Linked DNA regions of Mytilus edulis. The protein of the gene in region 1 binds, or shares a complex with, the protein of each later gene. Links are inferred from orthologs where the notes say so. Each region holds a gene or a part of one and is shown in the gene's direction. Other genes may lie near its edges.

Region 1 (11,121 bases):
TTAGAATAATCTCTCAGTGAATACATCTTATTGTGGTGATTTTTTTTAGATCACTTATAAAATAGCCAATCTATAGTTACTTTTTTTTTGAAACAACAGCAAGAAAATGCAAACAAAGTTAAAATAAATAAAATTTTAGGGTCAATAACTCCAATATACAATGTAGCATGACAGATTTTTTCAAATTATACAGGGTTTATAATAAAAATTGTTGTGCTTATCACCTGTTTAATTTCTTCTCTAAATCCTACAGTTTTAAACATTAGCCAAATATGAAGCATGTTCAGTTTGTTCCCTATGTTCTATTCTTAGACATGGCAGCCATGCTGATTGATCAACATGGACAAAATCACAAACTTTATAGTTGACATTCTACAGATGAAGCAAACAAACTTTGGTATCAACCCTTCATTCCCATTGAGCAGATTTAAAAAAAAAAGTTTACAACACACAGACAGAAAATGGACACAAAGTGATTGCGCATGTTCACATGGCCATTCAAGCCAGGTGAGCTAAAAGAAGGCATTCAATCTATATTAAAAATATCAGTTGATCTTTTAATAAAACAGTTGACATTTCCATGTCATGAATTCAGCCTCCACTTTTTATTTATCATCAAATTCTAGCAATTCTAAAATTGACTCTGGTATTTCTGCAGGTGAAATATATATAGATTATCTTTGAATCAAATAACAATTGATAGCAACATGGTTAGAGGGTTTAACTTGAAATGAAAATGTGAGTGGAAATATAGAATATGTCAAAGAGACAGAAACCCGACCAAAGAGCAGATAACATATAAAACAAAAATATAAAAAAATAAAACATGAATTTTACCCCTCATACATGTACATAATAGATGGACTTACTTGTTCTTATTAACAAGTAATATTGAAAATGGAAATGGGAATATGATAAAGAGACAACATCCCGACCAAACATGCCAAAGAGCAGGCAACATTTTTTCAAGACTTAGTAGAAAACTCTGTGCAAAATGGGCCTTGGTGGTCAAGTTGTCAGCCAGTCAACACTGAGGTTGTGAGTTTGAACCCTGACCACGCTGGTGCACTTGACTCCAATCTTAAATTAAATGATTGTCAGTTTCCTATCAAAGGTCAGTGGTTTTCTCCAGAACGTTCAGCTTTCTCCACCACTAAAAACTGGCTGCCAAGAAACAGCCCAAAATGGTACATGTACTTAAAAAGTGGCTTTAAACCACCAACAATCAATCAATCAATCAATCAAGAATGCAAATAACATGCAAAGGTTACCTTCTCTTTTAAAAAATGTTTGGGACATATCACATGCACATGTCACATGGGAATTTTTCAGCTGAACATGCTGAAAGAATGGGCACTTTAATTACAAATACATGAAACAGATGTAAGGACTTTATATTTAAGACAGCAACTGAACCATGTCACAATTAGAGTTAGGTGTTCAGTATTCAACCATACAAATCTGTATAATTTCTACAACAATAGACCAAATATTTACACATTATGTGTCAAGCTTGAAATGTCCAGAGTAGATCCTTTAAGTGATACAACAGAAACACTGAAGTGCAACAAAAAAAAAAAAACAATATTGCAACACACACAGAAATGAACTATAACTATGAGGCTCTGTGTTGAAGGCCGTACATTGACCTATAATGGTTTACTTTTATAAATTGTTATTTGGATGGAGAGTTGTCTTATTGGCACTCACACCACATCTTCCTATATCTATATAAGATAACAATTGCCCTTTCCTGACTTGGTACAGGACATTTTAAGAATAATTGGTGCATTGAACCTGGTTTTGTGGCTAGCCAAACCTTATGCTTTAATACAACAATATTAAAAGTATCACTAAAATGACAGCATTACCCTTATAAATCATTCTGTATATAAGTTACATTTTGTACAGCTATCTCTTATTATCAACAATTCACTATTTATATGAAGAAAATAACCGACACAATGACTTTACAGCAAAAAAACTAAAGACTTTTTCAATATAAAGGGGGTCTCATGGGGGGGGTTCCCATCCCGGATCCTGCTTACTGTTTGGTCAGTTTCCCATATCCCGCTTACACTATGTATGTAAGCAATTGTCATTTCCCAGGTCCCACTAGACCTCATTTCCCGTTTTCACGACACAATAATTTGACTTTTACGTGTCCCGCTTACAAAAAATTGGCAATCTCGCGTCACACTTAGACCCCAATGAGACCCACTATAAAGACTATAACACAAATAAATGAATTAATTTGCTTTGTCTTAATTATGCATGAAATATTTGCTACTGGACTACAATCTATCAATCAATCATTGCAAAATGTTATATATATTATTACCCCTGTATGGAATGAAGTACGTGCTATGAAAATTTAGATTTGCTTGCTGCTTAATTGATGTGTGAGCTAATACAATTTTTTGTCCAATAAAAAATTCACAAAAAATTTGTGTTATGAAAAAGTTGACAGGCCTGATAAAAATATAACTGTTTATTTAAGATGCTAAATCTGGTGTTAAACATGAATCTATTGGTCCAAGATTAAACATATCATTTTTATATCTGTTTGATATCAAAGGAAAAATCTTTGTAAAAAAAATATCTTTAATTAACGTTCCGTTTTCTTTTATGCTATCTTTGAAAATCAGGGTATTATGATTGTTGTCCCAGAATTAATCAATTGAAAACTGTAATTACATCTCCAGTGACACATTAAACATAAATTATCCTATTGATTTTTGTATCAATATCAAAGGGATGTTATTTGTGGTTACACAAAGTTAACAACATATATAGCAACTAACCTCTTTCTTGACAGCTCTTAACAGATTCTGTCGGTTTTCTGATTCTGCAAAAAATTAAATGAAAATATAAATGCTTTATTTTAATAAAAAGGATTCTAATAAAAAAGCATACTGGCTGAAAATTGAAATCATAATATAATAAATCAAAAGTTTAACCAATAAACCTCACCTGTTGGGTTCTGGCCTTCCATTTTGAGCTTCAGGTCTGCTGAATGCTCAGAAGAGTCCAAGAGTCCCAGATGTAACATTAATATTTCATACTAAATCATAAGCCCCTGAACTCCTATAGTACTAGCCCACAGTACAATGTGTATTGAAGATGCTCGGAACAGTTACCACAGATAATCAACATCCATGAATATTGATTAAACAAGGAACCAATTATCATATTCGCATCATTTTGTATTCAAGACCACCGGAAGTGCCATTACAGATATATTTTTTTTTATGGTTTATAGGTCATGTGTGCTTTAATTTTGTTCTTTGGTATGTAGACTGGTAAAGGGTGTTGCTTTCGTCTGTTTTTGAAGCTAATTTGTTGGTAAACAAATGCACCGGAAATACAGGGATCCTAAATTGAAAGCCGGTTTACTTTTCAGTTATTTCCAATAGATATTGATAAATTACAAATATATTTGATCATTAAGGATTAAATATTATTTTAATTGTCTAAAATTAATATTCTTAAAAACAAAATTTTGAAGATTTTGTGTTTTATTTTTCTAACATTAATAAAATAATAACGTCTCCCAACAAAAAGTTTAGCAAAGAACCATTAACAAAGTTATTTCAAAGTAATGTAAGAAAGTAAATTAATTGCACCATTCAATATGCTTAATTTTTATTTAAGTAAAATTCTTTATCATATAATTGTACATATATATAAAAAGCTTACATTAATTTTCACGGTAACTTAAAGTGTATATAAATGCCGCCTATAAATGAAAGGTGTTAGTCTTTACACACCTGGCACTGACTAGAATAGTAGAATAATAACAGGGATGGGGAATAAAAATTACAGAGCTATATTGTTTTTTGCTCAATATCAATAGAATAGGATAAAAAAAAAACATCTCACCCAGCTTGTCTTCAAGCTTTAAAAGCTAGTGCAAACTTTATTTGATTTGATATGGTTTATAAAATCATACATTTTTTTTTTATTATCAACCCTTAACGTTACAAGACAGAAATAGGAACCATAACAACATAGTCGACTCAATTTTATCTGCGTCTTCTTTCAAATTTCAATATCAGACCATGATATCAATTTTGAACGTTTATAATTATCATCATTCATAATATCTATATACTAAAAGAAACGTTTATTTAAGACCTTTTAAACCATATCCAACTGAGGAGTGTGTAAGATATGGTCATTATTCATAAATGGAGTTGCCAATCACTTGTATCATATTATCTAACATAGCTTTTGATGGAAAAGACCAGAAAATCCTGCTTTACAATAAAGAAGAATGTAGAAATTAAAGCCTGACTATCCTTGTATTCGGATCTAAATAATATCGCCATTAAATCTTATACCCTTTAGGCTGTAGGTAAAAGCTTTTGAAATAGCCAACATAACTTGTAATAATTGACATTGTAATATTTCATAAACAGTCTGTATCACATAAAAGATTATTGTTGTTAGTAGAAATTATATATTATTTTTATCCTCTTGTAAAATACCTGTATTTTTTCTCATAGTTTTGAAATGAATTGATCAATGTTTTCTAGATAAGAATTCGATAAAAGCTTTCGTATTTGAAATAAAATAAGAAAATAAAAACATGGGGTCACCGTACTGGAAAAGGCATATGCTTAAAAAAAAAAGGCATAATGATAAAATAAGGACAATGACTTTTATAGGACTTGATTAAAAAAATCCGACCATGTTAAATTGTGTGTCCTCTTTTTTTATCTACATTTTTCTGTTTATGTATTAAAATTTTCAAGATGGCAAAAACGCACAAAAGTGAAAATTGTCTTTGAATATAGCAATAACTCCTCTTAGGAGTTGACTAACGATTTTATCTATCTGACTTATTTCTATATCTATAAGATAAAAGACATACATTACATTTGCCCCTTATGCTTTATTTCAAGCCATGTTGGTCATGTTGGTTGGCCAGGGAAAATCATCCCAGGAAGCACCCAAACTGCTGTAAATTAGACAAGGAAGATAAGATTAATTTCTTTCTAGACTGTCCAGCTCTATATAAGTAAAGACAATAAGCCTTTCGAGAGCTGAAAATATCATACAATAAATATAATTGGACCATAGACTTGGAATGTACAGCTTGTTATCAACTGTTCACCGGCAACAACTGTGTAATATTCCAGAAGAAGGACATTATCAAAATCCGTAATCTTTCCGCAAGTGTATGTTACAAATTTCATACTCCCTGATTCAGACTTTTAAAAGCTAGGACTCGAATATAGCATACAAGGAGATAATCTATAAATTGACATTATATATAAAGTGGCTACTGAACAGTTATATATTTTTGAATAAGTATATCCCTTTTTATGTGGTTCATAAGTACTTATCGTTCCTCCTTTTTATATAGATAAGACCGTTGGGTTTCCTGCTTGAATTGCTTTACACTAGTGATATTGAGGTTTTCTTATAGCTTGCTGTTTGGTGTGAGCCAAGGCTCCGTGTTGAAGGCCGTACTTTGAACTATTACTGTGTAATTTTACACATTGTGAGTTGAATAAAAGGTTGTCTCCGTGCATTGTCACTCACACCACATGATCAGGACTCTTATTTCTATAGACAGGACATTCTTCACGCTTTACGTATATACTGTAAGTGTATAACATGATAAAAAAAAAAGGCAAAAGTAGTATACTGGTGTTCAAAAGTCATATATCGATTGAGAAAAAACAAATCCGGAATACAAACCAAAACTGAGGGAAACACATCAACTAGAGAAAAACAAAGGACACTGAAGTGCAAAAAAGAAAGCACAAAAAAGCCAAACTATTTGATAACAACTGCCATATTCCTGATTTGGTACAGGACATTTTCAGAAAAATGGTGGGTTGAACCTGGTTAAATGGCTAGCCAAACCCCCTGCTTTATGACAATGTTTAAAAAAAAATATCGCGAAAATGACAACACTGCATGGCTTTATTGGGTAACAGAAATACAGCACAAACTGGTAAACGCAAGAACATTTTATTTTGAATTTTAAGTTTATTCCCGCTGAACTTTTATTGTAAAAAAGTCTCCTCATAGACTCTAACTTTATACATATAATCAGAGACTGCCTTGTATAATTATATATAATCTGTATTGCTAAATTACACCCATAAGGGTCAGGCAATACAATCAAACAATTATATACAATACGCTTGCAATACAATGTAATACAATAATTTTAATAGTTCAATTATAAATTTATGTAAAAAAACGTAAACCATCATAAGCTTGTTTGACATGGGTCTGACCCCCTCAGTTCTAAAGACTGCTTAATGAAGACTCCAATATGACAAACAAGTTCAGGGATGTGGTTTAGAATGTGTTTTAGTTTATTAAATGCATCAAGACTTTGAAATAATGGTACATACTCTTTTAGATTTGCAACAGATTAGAACGAAATGATATGTTAGTAGTGTCACATTACAAAAAGAAACGGAATTCGTCATCTAGGACTCCACACTTTTACATAATCTTTGTGTTCTTGGAATGTTCCGTATACCTTCTCAATTCAATATCTAGGGAATCATCACTAAGTCTAAATTTTGAGAGTAACTGCCTATGACAAAATTATTTAGTTGAATTTAAATCATACCTCAGACTCAAAATTATTTTTTAATTTCTCTTATAGACAAAGTTTAGATGAGGAATCCATTTTTGAAAGTTTATTTAAAGTATTTTTTCATATTCATCTGAACTGAAACTACTATATCACACTTTTTGATATTACATTTTAAATCGTTTTTAGATTGTTTAAAAGGTACATTAATATTAGAGTAATTATCTTCAAATGAGTACCAAGAATAAATTCTTGCAGAATGTAAATTTATGTTTGTTTTTAGAGATTCTTTTACCAGGGAATTAACATTATATTTAACAAAAAATACCCCCCCCCCCCCCCCCCCAACCCCAACCCCTAATTTGTACTGTTTAAAAGAGTCCTTTTAGATTTATGACTAAAATAGAATTGTGTGATGCGTTTCAATAGACACACACAGCTGTATTTTATGTTCCATGATTGTGAAAGGACATCCATGCAATAGAAGAAGATAGCAACATTAGCAAATTGGGACGTTGCGTTCTTACATTAAAACTTTTCTGTTTGTGGTAATCACATTTATTCCATCATGGCTTCGACTGGAGGTTCTCACCTGTCAAGTGGGAAAATAAACCTGAGTTTATTGAGAGATTTTTACAGACGTGAGCTTTTAGAAGCTCTTGACAAATGTCTTGGCTCTAAGGCAAGCAGACTCATAATCAATATATGTGTGGTTTATTCTAGTTACCCCAATGGACATAAGAGTAAGCTAAGGGGGCGGAAACCAAATAATATATTTACAGATCAGCACCAGATAAGGCTATATACTACCATCCAAATAAGTCAATCTATAGTGGTGTTAATGGTTTAGGAAACCTATTTCTTAAGTTGAAGGTCTTAGTTTTGGGCGACCCCTAAAAAAACTTCTTTTTCAATTCATGTTTTCACATTTTTCCTTATGTCAGATTAAAATCTCTAGGCACTGGCTACGGTTACATGGAAATGTAACAATAATAAAAGTATTATTGTTACATTGGAGACTAATTGCCGGAATGCAAAGTTGGGTGTGGAACCGATTAATTACGAATGTAACAATAATTACTGAGGCTACGGTTACATTACGTTATTGTTACATGAAAAACAGCAATGTACGCTAGATTTATTAAACTTAAATCTTCTATAGTTGTTTTGCTTAATTCTTTCATATGTACTAAACAATACTTGTAATACTGATAAATTTAATATTATAAATCAACATTCAAATGGTGTTTAACTTGAATAGTTTTACGTATTAATGGTTTTGATGTTCTTAAAGATAATACTCAAGATTAGGAGTGTCAAAGGCGAAACATATAGTTCAATGGTTTCTCTTTTTTAAAGTATTTAACTGCACACCTACTCTTATTACTGTCATTATACTTTGAACCAATTTTGTTTAGGGTGAAAAACTTAAAAAATTGGGATGCGTTTTAAACCGTCAAACTTAAACAAAATCAAGACATAAATTTCATACACTACAGCTATGCAACTTGACCCAAATTGATACATCAAAAGCAAAGTTTGCTAACTGTAACTTAAATACTAAGAACTTCTGTATGTACACGTAACCGTGGCGGACGCAATTTCGTTCATCAAAAATGTGTCGGACTTTAAAAACCACTTACTTCATGTACTTGATTTGTAGAAATTGTCATTGTAAATAAAAAAAATTACAGTAAATAAATTGTATGTATAAATAAATGTATGTATTGCAAATATAAAATAAATGTCTTCATTTTTTATTAGTTAGTACATATTACTAGTCCAATTGTTTGTTTCAGGCCAGTTTTTAACTTTAGAACTTTTTAGGGGTTTCAAAATAAAATTTCTTCAATGTACTCATATCATTGTATATATACAGGTACACTTTTGGAGAAGGGGAGATTATTCAAATCTTGAAAAAAAATATAAATTTTACAGATTTACTTTATAACACAAGTATATATCAAATAATGGCATACATCTGACATCTACAAGTGAATATAAATTACTTGTATAAGTATAACCCTTCACTGATTTCTCACATGTATTTGTTTCATTATGGTATTGATATTTTCAAACTTAGATTGTTTTTAAAACAGATCTGAAACTGATAAAGGCCAAGAATAGAATACATATTGTCTGTTTCCCCAAAACCAATCTCTACCTTTTTTAGAGATTGCTATGGAGGCCAAAAAGAATAGAAATAACATGGTAGATCATCTTCACATGTTTAGGTCAGAAAATCATTATGTTTTTTTCCAAATAACTTTAATGAAATTGAGAATGGAAATTGGGAATGTGCCAAAGAGACAACAACCCCACCATAGAGCAGCTGACAACTGATATTTTGACACAACAACATTTGACTTCTTAAAGTTCTTGTAATTCGATCATAAAAATTTTGAGCACAATTATTGTATTCAGACAATAAAGATACTGGGTTAGTGTTTCAAAAACAAATGTTTTTACAGTGAGTACTTGAAATGTTGAATATGAATTAAAACTAATGTTCCTTTAATTTGTAGACTCTAAACATGTACATTTATGACTTCAATGGAAGTGTAGCAGGTATTCAATTTAAATTTACTCTTCTTTGGTACAAGAATAGGAAGTTATATTGTCTAGGATTTATTTAATAACAGTGATTAATTTTTCAGGCATTAGTATGGGATAATGATTTGACTGGACCTTTTGGTTTAATAGCAGAATACTCTTTACTGAAGGTAAATTTAGTAATACAATGAATTTTGGTTCAGAAAATAACTTTTTTTATTTCCTTTGATTTCTTGATATTTCTATATATGTATTTTGGCTTTTAAAACCATCCACCTCATTTACAGTAAACAAATGACATAGAAGTTAGTAACTACAAGCCAACCTACTAGCAAGAAATAAAAGGCTTTGAAATGATAAATGAAAAACAATTCAAATGAGAAAACCAACAGCCAGATCATGTTTATGTACAAAACAATAAATGGAAATCAAAATTATTATCAGCAACAAATGACAAAGAAAGATTGTTGTCACAAGTCATTCATAATCACCCTGTTTCACATTTTCAATTATTACCAAAATACATACAGATATGAAAACATTCAATGTTCCATATTTCAATGACATTTTATATCTAAAATAATGTTGGTGATTAAAGATTTAAAGATTTATGCATGGAAAAAAATACACAGGAACAATATGCATATTTTGCTTTTATTGCATCATATTGGTAATAAATAATAAGATAAAAGCTTTATTTAGAGTCTGAAAAGTATGCAAACTAAAACATTGATCATAAGCTCTGATGAGCTTTTAACCGACATTGATTATTAGTTTCTGTGCCTCACACAAAAATTGTGCAAGTGGAATGAAATGCTATTTTGCTGTTGTTTAATTGAATTCTTTCTAATTGATATCTAACAAATTTAAACCAAGAAGTTTAGATTTTGCATGACATCTTTACATATGTTGCTATAAGTGATAGTGTATTAAGAGTTTAGCATAAAGGGAAGCAAAAACTTTATGGTTCTGCAAAATATCTACCATTATACAATTTTTAAGAGAACGGTTTTACTTTTTTTGTTAACAATTTCGATATATATTTTTATGTTTCTATTAATAGGAACATGAAGTTGAGAAGATGTTTCCACTGCAGACTTCTGGTCTACCACCAAGTAATGTACAGAATATTATATTTATAGCCAGACCAAGATTGAAACTCATGGATCTCATAGCACAGAATTTATTACAGTCAGTATAGAAATAAGAAAATGGGGTATGATTTCCAATGAGACAACTATCCACCAGAGTTCAAATGACACAGATAAAAGCAATTATTGGCCACTGTACGGCTTCCATCAATGAACAAAACTTTAGTGCATTGTAAGCTGTAAAAGGCCTAAAAATGACAAATATAAAACTATGCAAACTAGAAAACTAAAGGCTGTATTTGTTTATAAAACAACAATTGAAAAACAAATATGATATATAGCAACAAACTACAAACACTGAGTAGTTTGTCTTTCAATGTTTTATAAGTAAGGCCAAAAACTGTATGATTTGGAACAGAGTAATTTGTATGCAAAGCTAGTGTTACTATTTCAATCTGGAACTTATCAATTTTATTCTTTTTTATCTTCGGAATGCTAAAACAATAACAAGAACAATTTTATTTGCGTTACTGTGTTGATATAACGAAATCAGCGAATGAGCGGTATCACCGGCCGCGCGTACACCGGGGACTCCACTGTATATGTTTTCCTGTTGATTCTTTGCATGTGTTCTAACATGTTAAAAATCCTCTTAACATGTTGCTCTGGTACACAGTCTATCTTCTTGTTTTTATACTACAATTTGTACTTGAAGATGTATGATATTTCGTTTAAAAAGGATATACAACATGTTGCACATTCAAGCTACATTTTAATAATGCCTAATCCAGATTTTAAGCTCCATTTTGAGCTTGATTTAAGCTTTAGAATGTGTAGGAAATAATTTTTAAAAAAATGTTTACGTGTGCTTGTACATGTAGTTCAGGATAAACATGACAAAATAAACTACAT
Region 2 (10,058 bases), on another chromosome or scaffold:
TTGTTTAATGAAATCTATATGTTAGCAATTGTCAACCATTTTAGTTAATATGTTCAGGCATTTATTGAATCCAATATGTATTTTTCTCATTAAAAATACACTAACTTATATAAATGTTATATATTTTTGTCTGTTATAGAAATGCTAACAGTTGTAAATAGTTTTCAAATTTAGTTTCATTAGTCATAAAATGCAGGTTTTTATGATTTTATCAACACTTGTTTTAGGAAACTTACAGTTTAAACAGATGAAATTTAATAAAATTTGGTATGCATTTGCATTGGCATTTATAGATGTGTGAAATGAAGATGTGCATGTTGAATAAATGTTATCAGAAATACTGTAAGGCATTTATATTGGGATCCATTTACTGTGGATTTTGTTTATTTTCGAGGCTACCAATACGTGCAATTTTCCTTGATTAGATTGGCAAGCCTTGTAAAAAATTGTTTTTTATTGGACATTTGAAATCTCAATATACCTATCCCTAGAAAATTCACAAAAATTAGTGTCCTTAGAAAAATGATGAATCCATAGTAGATACAACTTTAAAGTTACTATAGTAAAGTTTTCAATGTAGATGTTCCTATGCTATCTGTTCAAAATATTCTTCTCGATCTTATAAAGAGTTCAAGACTTCTGTATCATGCACTTATGAAGCTCTTTAATCTCAAAGTTGTTCAGTTACTTATTTTTGGTTTGACTGATTTGATAAAATTATTCAAAATAAATTTGACAAGGGTTTGAACATATGCAAACCATAATCTACATATATATTATCAGTCAAATTTTTGTTAGAAAAACAATTTCACGGTGGATAGAATGGTAACAGACTTATCAGGTTTTTTCTGTGGTTCCAATATGTATTTTGCACAAAATAAAGGAAAATAAAAAAATATGCATTTATGGTATACAGTCCTATGGTCTATATAAAATACAGTCATACATAGTATGCACCTCTTTTTGGCCCTTAAAACTTTAGAAAAAAAGTTACTTCTTATTCCCATCACCTAAATTGACTTACAGGCCAGCAAACCAGTTGTTATCACTAAAATAGTCTTAAAATTGTTTGTCATTTAAATATTTTACCACAAGTATTTGTTAAAACTTGTATTTCAATTTAATGTACAATAGTGGCCATATTCACTAAAATTATGATTATCCAGATTTAAAAAAAAAATCTTTCAAGTTTTCTTCATCAATTGATTGTTGGTTGCTTGACATCCAGTCACTACAGTGGCAAATATTTCATGCATGTACAGGACCTTTTTTTCCTTTCCAAAGCCAGTTTTCTATTTTTTTACATTAAATATGTAATGTGGATCATTAATGTTGAAACCGTAAAGAAAAATTGTGATGTAGTTCTGTTGGGATAACAGCATTTATAACATATACTAGTAAACAGTATTTTGTACAATATGATTTTGTTAATACTTTATAATTTAAGTACAAATTCAAGTAGAATTTTTTATATTTGTGTAAAATTTTAGTAAAGTATGCTTCATAAAAGATTCTAGAAAATATTAAAATCATGAAATGAATTAAAGAGTCAGTTTTATTTAAACCTCAGAGTATAATCTTTTAGCCCAATTGGTCCAAAGAAACATGGTTATGTGTCGAGTAAAGGTCATAATGTCGGGTTTAATTGTTCATCTTGAACAGGAATTCTTCATGTTGCAATGACTTGATGGTATACATAGACAGTTACAATGATATTCTTTACTAACATGGACCTTTTTTTGGCAGAATGGTATTGCCTAATATTGGATTTATATATAAGTTTCTACATGTAATTTGGTATATTTATCTGCTTTAGAATTGATTAAAACCCAAGTCAAAAGAAGGAATTTTTGGATTTGATTGATCCATTTTCAGTATATTTTTTGAAACTTCAAAGCAGAATCTTTTTGAGTAGATGTATCCTGATTCCATAGATATGATTTAGGGGTAAGCAGCTAGGAAAAGACTTATATCTGCCATAAAAGGCACAATAAGTAGAAAACAGTTGACCATTATTTTTTTTCTTTTCTATTTTTTGTGCTCAAAATCCTATAACTGTAAGCAAAAACTTGCCAAAAAATATTTTAATGCTGCTTCATAACTTTTTCCTATATATATTGAATCAATTGCTGTATCTGGTTCTTAATAGTTTTAGTACACTAATAAACAGGTTGTACGAGAAACTTTGACTTGATATCATGGATATTTTGTTAATTTTAAGATGGAAGTCCTTGAAGAAGTTTTATATTTGAAGAAAAATAAATTGCAATATCAGAAAAAAAAGAGATTTACATTACAAGCAAAATTTGATTTAAAATTAATGGATGCCATAACTTAATTCTCACAGTTCTAGGTTTAAGGTAGACATTTTTTAAATGTAGAATATTTTAGTATAAAGCTGCTTTGTTATAATGCATTATCAACAAAATAAACCACTGTAGACTTTTTTTTTATAGGAATGTAGTACAGAACATGTTATAAAAAAAATGTGAAGTTTCACCCCTTCTTCACCCTGAGGAAAATTGAAGGACATAATTCATAGTTAATGACAGAATGTTTAACTAAAACTGTGTAATAGAGTAGTCTAAGAGGTGCTTAATAAAAAAGCTTATTTTCTTATGATTATGAGCCAAAACGATAATGGTCATTACATGTCAACTTGTGCATCATCAAAGCACAAAGTGAAATATAAGTATTAAAGTACACGACAACAAAAATAAAAGACACACAAGATAAAAATTTATGGAACTCAGTTTCCTTTACATTGACAAATGATGCTCAGCATGCTAAATTAGAATGAAATTCAAAACAATGTGGCTGTGGCCATTGATTGACACATTAAATTCATCCATTGACTGGGAAAATTTAGGTGAACGTTTGTATGTAATGACCACTGCTCACTAAAACTATGGGGTCACCAAAGGTTCTCAACACCTTAATAAAGTAATTCGAAAAATTAATCAGAAATAACACGATGTTTGATTTATACCAATTATATAAATCAAAACATAAAGGTTATTCCTGATTAGTTTTTCGAATTATTTTATAATTAAAGGCGTTAAGAAACCTTTGGTGAGTGACCCCACAGTTTAAATGTCGTTAACAGTGGTCGTTACAGACATACGTTCACGTAAATTGTCCCAGTCAATGGATGAATTTGATGTGTCAATCAATGGCCACAGCCACACTGTTTTGAATTTCATTCTATTATACAATTACAAGCTTAAAGAGATTTTAACAAAAATGACAGGACTTAATTTTTAGTAAAAAAACTTATTTAATATTAACCAAAGACAAGATTTCAAACAAAGGTGAGTCTAGTCATAGAACAAACAATAAGTGGATGATCTCAAAACTAAGAAATTTCGGTGCAAGTCGATGTTGCATGGGTAATATGAAGCAATGTGATTATTTCATCAAAAAAGTCAATAAAAGGATGTATACAATCTATTCATGACTGAATCAAGTTGGTATCACAATAAAGCTACCTACAAATATAGGTTATATGAAAAAGTTGAATTAACCAATACAATCTATACAAAATTTTTATTAAACACTTGAAAGTTCCACATACATTATACATGTAACAAGTTATATGACTATATGTTCACATTATAAGCATCTGCAGTACCTCACAATTTCTAATTAGTACATGTATAGAATACCATGTCCAACCTACCACAGGACCAGAGGGGTATAAGTAGTCAAACTACTGTATCACTACCCTGTCAACACTGAGGTTCTTAGTTCAAATCACACACATGGTAGGTGCATTCGTCTCTAATTGTAATTGACTTATGAACTTAGGATTGTCAGTTTTCCTACCAAATGACGCAGGTTCGTTCCAGTCACTCTAACATCCTCCACCAATAAAAACTGACTGCAATAGTGCTTAAAGTGGTGTTTAAAAAAATCAATCAATCAATCAAATCGCATTGTAAGCATAAAAACCTCACAATTTTCTAATCAGTACATGTATAGAAAATATGTAAAAATGTTCTCACTACCAAATGATCAAAGGAGAAAACATTTTGTTTTGGGCAATGTTTTTAGCACCTCTTTTAACTTTAGCCTCCTACCAATATTTTTGAAGCTTTTGTTATTATAAAAGGAATTTCAAAAGGGGGGGGGGGGGGGGGGGCAGGAGGATTTGTTTTGGATCAGTTATTTATTTTTGGGAACGGACAGGTTATCTTTTTTCTGCACTATTGAAGTAAGATTTTTCATTTTCATTAAAGCAAGGGACTGATTATTCATCTATTTATTTTCACAACTATATTTATAATATTCGAAAACATACAATTTTTAAATTATTTGTTTATTATAAATAATACATGTATAGTCAAGTCATTATGTACCATTTAATCAGAATTAATCATCATCCTCTGAGAAATGAATCTTCTTTATTCCCAACTGCATATATACATGTATTCTATACATACACAGTATTAAAGTTTGGTTGTATCTAACCTTTTTTAAAAGTATTGGCAAACAAATTTTTTTTATGGGTTTTGGAGCAACTGAAGGCCCAAAAAGCTATAGAACAAATGATGAAAAATCATGCTTTTTGGGTGTTCCCCATACCCCCTTTCTTAATCTGAAAATGCAAGTTCTATTTTAATAATTTTTTGACCATATTTTGGTCTCAAAGCAAAATGTATTAATTCAGTGTAAGACTTAAGTTTCTAAGGACAACACCAAAAGACCAATATGCATTAAAAGCAAACATGTTATTCACATAGTTAAGTCTGTGGCTTCTGGTTTTTTTTTTAAATCATGATCAAGTTAAGAACAAAATTACTAAATTACAAAAGGAATACAACACTAACAGGATACAGAAGGGCAATCAATGAACAAAAGACAAATAAAAAAGAAACATTGATCCCGAAAAATCAGGGGCTACGTCTGAGGGAGAACATAACTTCCTTCTTGCAAGGCATTCCTTGTGATCACAATTTGATATGGAGTTGAGCGTTTGGTTTTGAAATTTCCTACATTGTAGTTACTGCCCTGTAATAAAAGTGAGGTAAGTGTTCCTGAGTAAATATACCTAAAGTTAAATGAAACTAATTTTCAGACGTTTCCAGTATATTTAAATAATATTTATACTTTTATTATTAAAAGATTAGGGAAGTGTTTCCCGATTTAAAAAAAAAGAAGATGAATTTATGAAGAATCTGATGCCATCCTATACTTTCAATTAGACCTACTGAGTTATTTATTTTTTCAATACTGTGATTGCAAGTCAGGTAATTTATTTTCAAACTACCACAGAACAAAAACCATTCATTTTTTGTGATTATCAAGGCTGAGTTTATATTCATTTTCAAAATCCTCCTGCCCCCCCCCCCCCCCCCCCCCCCCCCCTCCCCAGAATATCAAATTGTTGTCCCCTTATTATGAGCAAAATATAATTATGAAAAAATTAAACATATGCACATTTACATATGCAAAAAAGCTGTACAAAATTTCTCTGGCCTCCTATATATACCTTTGAGTTTTGGAGTTTTTGCGCTTGTAAATATTATTGACTGTCCGACGGACTCACAGACTTAATAAAAACTATAGGGATCCTTTATCCTCTCAGGGTTTCCCAAATATTGGCCAAATTAAGAATAGATAAAATGGCTTATAAAATTTATGAATAAAGAATTAAAGGACCCCTCTCAAGGAGTCGGTTTTCCCAAAAAAAATCTTACAACTAAGATTGATCGTAAGTCATGAACAATTCAGTATACTTGAAAATTTATAAGATAAATCTTAGTCTTAAGTTTTTTTTTGTGAAACTGACTCCAGACACTCATTTGTCTAAATGTATGTGTTAAGCCAATTTAGACCGTTCTTGTCTATGTTCAAGATGGTTACTTTTGGTTTTTAGTGATTTGAGAACTCTTCTCTGTTGGAGACTTGAAATGATTATCACATGAAAAGTAGCAGTAGATGTTTTTTTAGCTGAATTTTGCAACAAAATGCCATAGATTCACTGTATATTTGTGCCATAAATCGTCGTGATGCACGACGCATATGAGGCCATATCACTTCTTGAAAAACTACCGTTAAAAATCGAATCTATAACGTGCCATGGTATGACATGATTTATTTCCTGGGATTTCCTGTTCAATATTTATTGACAGTGTGACATGTTTAGTTAATTTTAAGATGAATCTTCACAATACTTACAAAAATAACTTTCAGATTTAAATAAACACATTCACTTCATATTCCCCCTAAATGTATTTATATGAATTTGATAAAGAGTACGTGATGAGTGCAATTTTTAAGTCTACAGACTGCTTTGATATCTGCTTTCAAGCAATCTGTAGACTTATACCATTGACTCAGGGCTCTATGCCCTCACATCAACCGTTTTATTCTAAACATTCAGCAAAATCTCAGATTCTTATGAAAAGGTAAAAACAAGCAAAAGGATTGAACTTAAACAACTTTCCTGTAATGTTCTTCTCATAATCTTTATGTTTGATATTTCCCTTGACTTATATGCATGTTTTTAACAACACAGAAAATCAGAATTAAGCAGTATATATATTTAGTGTTTTTATAAATTTAGAAACACATCGGAGGGAATTCCCCAGTTTTGATAAATGCGAGAGTTTTCTGAATTCGGATAATTCTATTTCTTTCATATAATAGAATTGAGAATGGAAATGGGGAATGTGTCAAAGAGACAACAACCCAACCAAATAAAAAACAACAGCAGAGGGTCACCAACAGGTATTCAATGTAGCGAGAAATTCCCGCACCCGGAGGCGTCCTTCAGCTGGCCCCTAAACAAATATATACTAGTCCAGTGATAATGAACGCCATACTAATTTCCAAATTGTACACAAGAAACTAAAATTAAAATAATACAAGACTAACAAAGGCCAGAGGCTCCTGACTTGGGACAGGCGCAAAAATGCGGCGGGGTTAAACATGTTTGTGAGATCTCAACCCTCCCCCTATACCTCTAACCAATGTAGAAAAGTAAACGCATAACAATACGCACATCAAAATTCAGTTCAAGAGAAGTCCGAGTCTGATGTCAGAAGATGTAACCAAAGAAAATAAACAAAATGACAATAATACATAAATAACAACAGACTACTAGCAGTTAACTGACATGCTAGCTCCAGACTTCAATTAAACTGACTGAAAGATTATGATTTCATCATATGAACATCAGGCACAATCCTTCCCGTTAGGGGTTTAGTATCATACCATCATAACATATATGAGAAGAACATAACCCGTGTCATGCCAACAACTGTTTTTAGAATAAATGTGTTTAGTTCCGATGCAAAGACCTTATCAGTGACTCAATATTAACGCCAAAATATGCAATCTTTAATGACTTGACAACAGTATCGTAATTATATCCCTTCTTAATAAGTCTATTCAAAGGTTTTGTAAGTTTCTGAGGTGAATACTGACACCTTTGTGCTTTATAAAGAATATTTCCATAAAAAATCGGATGTGAAATACCTGAAAGTATTAGAAGTCTGCATGTTGAGCTATATTTACGAATGATGTCTTTATACCGATGATAAAATTTAGTAAATGTTTTGACTAGTTTGTGATATCGAAAACCCTGGTGTAATAATTTTTCAGTAATACATAAATTTCTCTCGTTAAAATCTAAAACATTGTTACATACACGAGCGAATCATACAAGTTGAGATATATAAACACCGTAAGATGGTGACAAGGGAACGTCACCATCTAAAAACGGATAATTAACGATAGGAAATGAAAAATCGTCTCTTTTATCATAAATTTTAGTATTCAGCTTTCCATTAGTGATATAGATATCAAGATCGAGAAAAGGGCAGTGGTCATTGTTAGTATTAGCTTTATTTAAAGTAAGTTCAACAGGATAAATTTCATTAATATACATACTGAAGTCGTCATTATTGAGAGCCAAAATATCATCCAAATATCTAAAAGTATTATTAAATTTGTTTATCAGATGTTGTTTCGATGGGTCTTTGCTTATTTTTGTCATAAATTGTAACTCATAACAATACAAAAACAGGTCCGCAATAAGTGGTGCACAGTTAGTCCCCATTGGAATTCCGATAATCTGACGATATACAGAATCCCCAAAGCGAACAAAAATGTTATCTAGTAAAAATTCAAGGGCATATATAGTATCAAAGCATGTCCAATTAACATAGTTTTTTTGTTTATTGCTACTAAAAAATGACCTAAAAGAGTTTGAACATATATATTCACATTCTGATTTTTTGAATGCCCATTTAATTAGGTGTGTGAATTTTTTCTTAATGAGAATGTGAGGCAATGTGGTATACAGGGTAGAAAAATCAAATTTTGAACAGATTCAAAATCACCAATATAAGCATGCAATTTATCAAGTACTTCCAACGAGTTCTTGACACTCCAAAAGTAATTTATTCCACTATTTTCGAAGGAGAACTGAAGTGGAGTTCTTGTTGAGCCTGCAACTTTTGTTGCAGAAAGCTCGACATAGGGATAGTAATCCGGCAGATACAGTGACGGCATTAGCTAACTTTTTAAAAGCTTTATATTTAAGAAGGTGGAAGACCTAGATGCTTCATACTTTGTATATGGATGCCCCATGTTACGAATTTTCTGTCAGTCACATGTCCAATGTCTTTGACCTTATTTTCATGGTTCAGTGACTACTTGAAAAAAAAGTTAAGATTTTTTTGTAATGTTAAATTCTCTCTTATTATACATTTCTGTAAGTAATAGATAACTATATTAGGTATGTGCGTACCTTGCAAGGTCCTCATGCTGGTCAGACAGTTTTCACTTGATCTTGACCTCATTTCATGGATCAATGAACAAGGTTAAGTTTTGGTGGTCAGGCCAAATAAAAAAGTATGTATGGTTCCCGTTACATCTGAAAAAAAGTTAGGGTAGGTAGGTACATGTAGGGATTTTTTGTATTTTATAGGTTTTTTTTACATTGAGTCTATTGGGAGCAACATTCTGACTTCAACAGTGCTTAATGAAAAATGACAATAAGATCTTTAGGGTAGGCTATTTTAAGCCGAAAAAAGTAGTGACGGTAGGGTTACTGATGTATGGAAATTTTTTATGATCTATTTGTCAGTCGCGCAGGTTTAATTGACCTTGACCTCATTTTCACAGTTCATTGCTCAATGTTAATTTTTGTGTTTTGGTCTGTTTTTCTTAAACTATAAGTGATAGATCAACATTATTTGTTGTACGGAAAAATTGTTAGCTGTACATGCCTGCGTGGCATGGTTCATTTGACCTTGACCTCATTTTCATGGGCCATTGGTCAATGTTTAGTTTTCTTGGTTAGATTTATGTGACATTTGTAATAAAGCTTTATATTTAGGACTATCAACATAATATCAATGACAATGATTAGGAAAGAAGGCGAGACATTTTAAACTGTGCACTCTTGTTCTATATGTTACCGTTATGAAACTGATATTTGATACTGTTCTCTCATAAAAAAATGGAGAACCATCTAGGTCGTTTAATTATTATTTAATAAATGTTCTTGTTCCAAATCGCAAGTCACGAGTTTGTATATGTATTAATGCGCATGCTTTTAAAATGAAATGAAAACTGGAAGTGACACGTGGATGATAAATTCAAAACGAGTCCGGATTCATCAGGAAATTATAATTTTTCGGTTTAAATTCCATTAGTAAGAGATATATGATTCTAAATGATTTCGTATTTTAAGTTTTTTATCAGGGTCTATAAATAGTCATAAGAATACTTTCATGCATGTGTAGCGCACAGTTCAGGAACCTGTTTAACTGGTGAAGACATCTCTGAACGTTTTGAATAAAGTTTTATATTTTAATAGAAATTATTGAAAGTTTTTGATGGCAATTTATATCAATTATGACGAAAATGCGTTCGAATGATGAATCTATGACTATCAAACTTCAAAATCCATTGTGAGTACTTTAAGCTGGTTTTAATCGTAACATTGTTATGATTGTATCTACCATAATGATTTCTAATTTATTATCAAACTACGATATTGAGACATTGTTCAAATAGTAACTACATGACTTTGTCAGGTTTCT

The links. Proteins that work in one complex are often made in the same cells at the same time.
Region 2: vacuolar protein sorting-associated protein 33A-like (region 1) and vam6/Vps39-like protein share a complex: the UniProt entries of both Drosophila melanogaster proteins name them as parts of the homotypic fusion and vacuole protein sorting (HOPS) complex. The link is inferred for Mytilus edulis from reciprocal best matches to the Drosophila melanogaster genes car and Vps39.

The regions. Positions count from the first base shown.
Region 1 is NC_092349.1:42,685,312-42,696,432, reverse strand, and holds the start of vacuolar protein sorting-associated protein 33A-like, read left to right. Parts: upstream 1-7,117; 5' UTR 7,118-7,133; coding exon 7,134-7,247; intron 7,248-9,222; coding exon 9,223-9,288; intron 9,289-10,181; coding exon 10,182-10,309; intron 10,310-11,121. Other genes in the region: small G protein signaling modulator 1-like, read right to left, coding at 2,805-2,848, 2,974-3,052. UniProt on the Drosophila melanogaster protein: Core component of the class C core vacuole/endosome tethering (CORVET) and the homotypic fusion and vacuole protein sorting (HOPS) tethering complexes involved in endo-lysosomal vesicle trafficking and lysosome biogenesis.
Region 2 is NC_092346.1:54,792,537-54,802,594, reverse strand, and holds the start of vam6/Vps39-like protein, read left to right. Parts: upstream 1-5,877; 5' UTR 5,878-6,011; coding exon 6,012-6,084; intron 6,085-10,058. UniProt on the Drosophila melanogaster protein: Part of the homotypic fusion and vacuole protein sorting (HOPS) tethering complex involved in endo-lysosomal vesicle trafficking and lysosome biogenesis.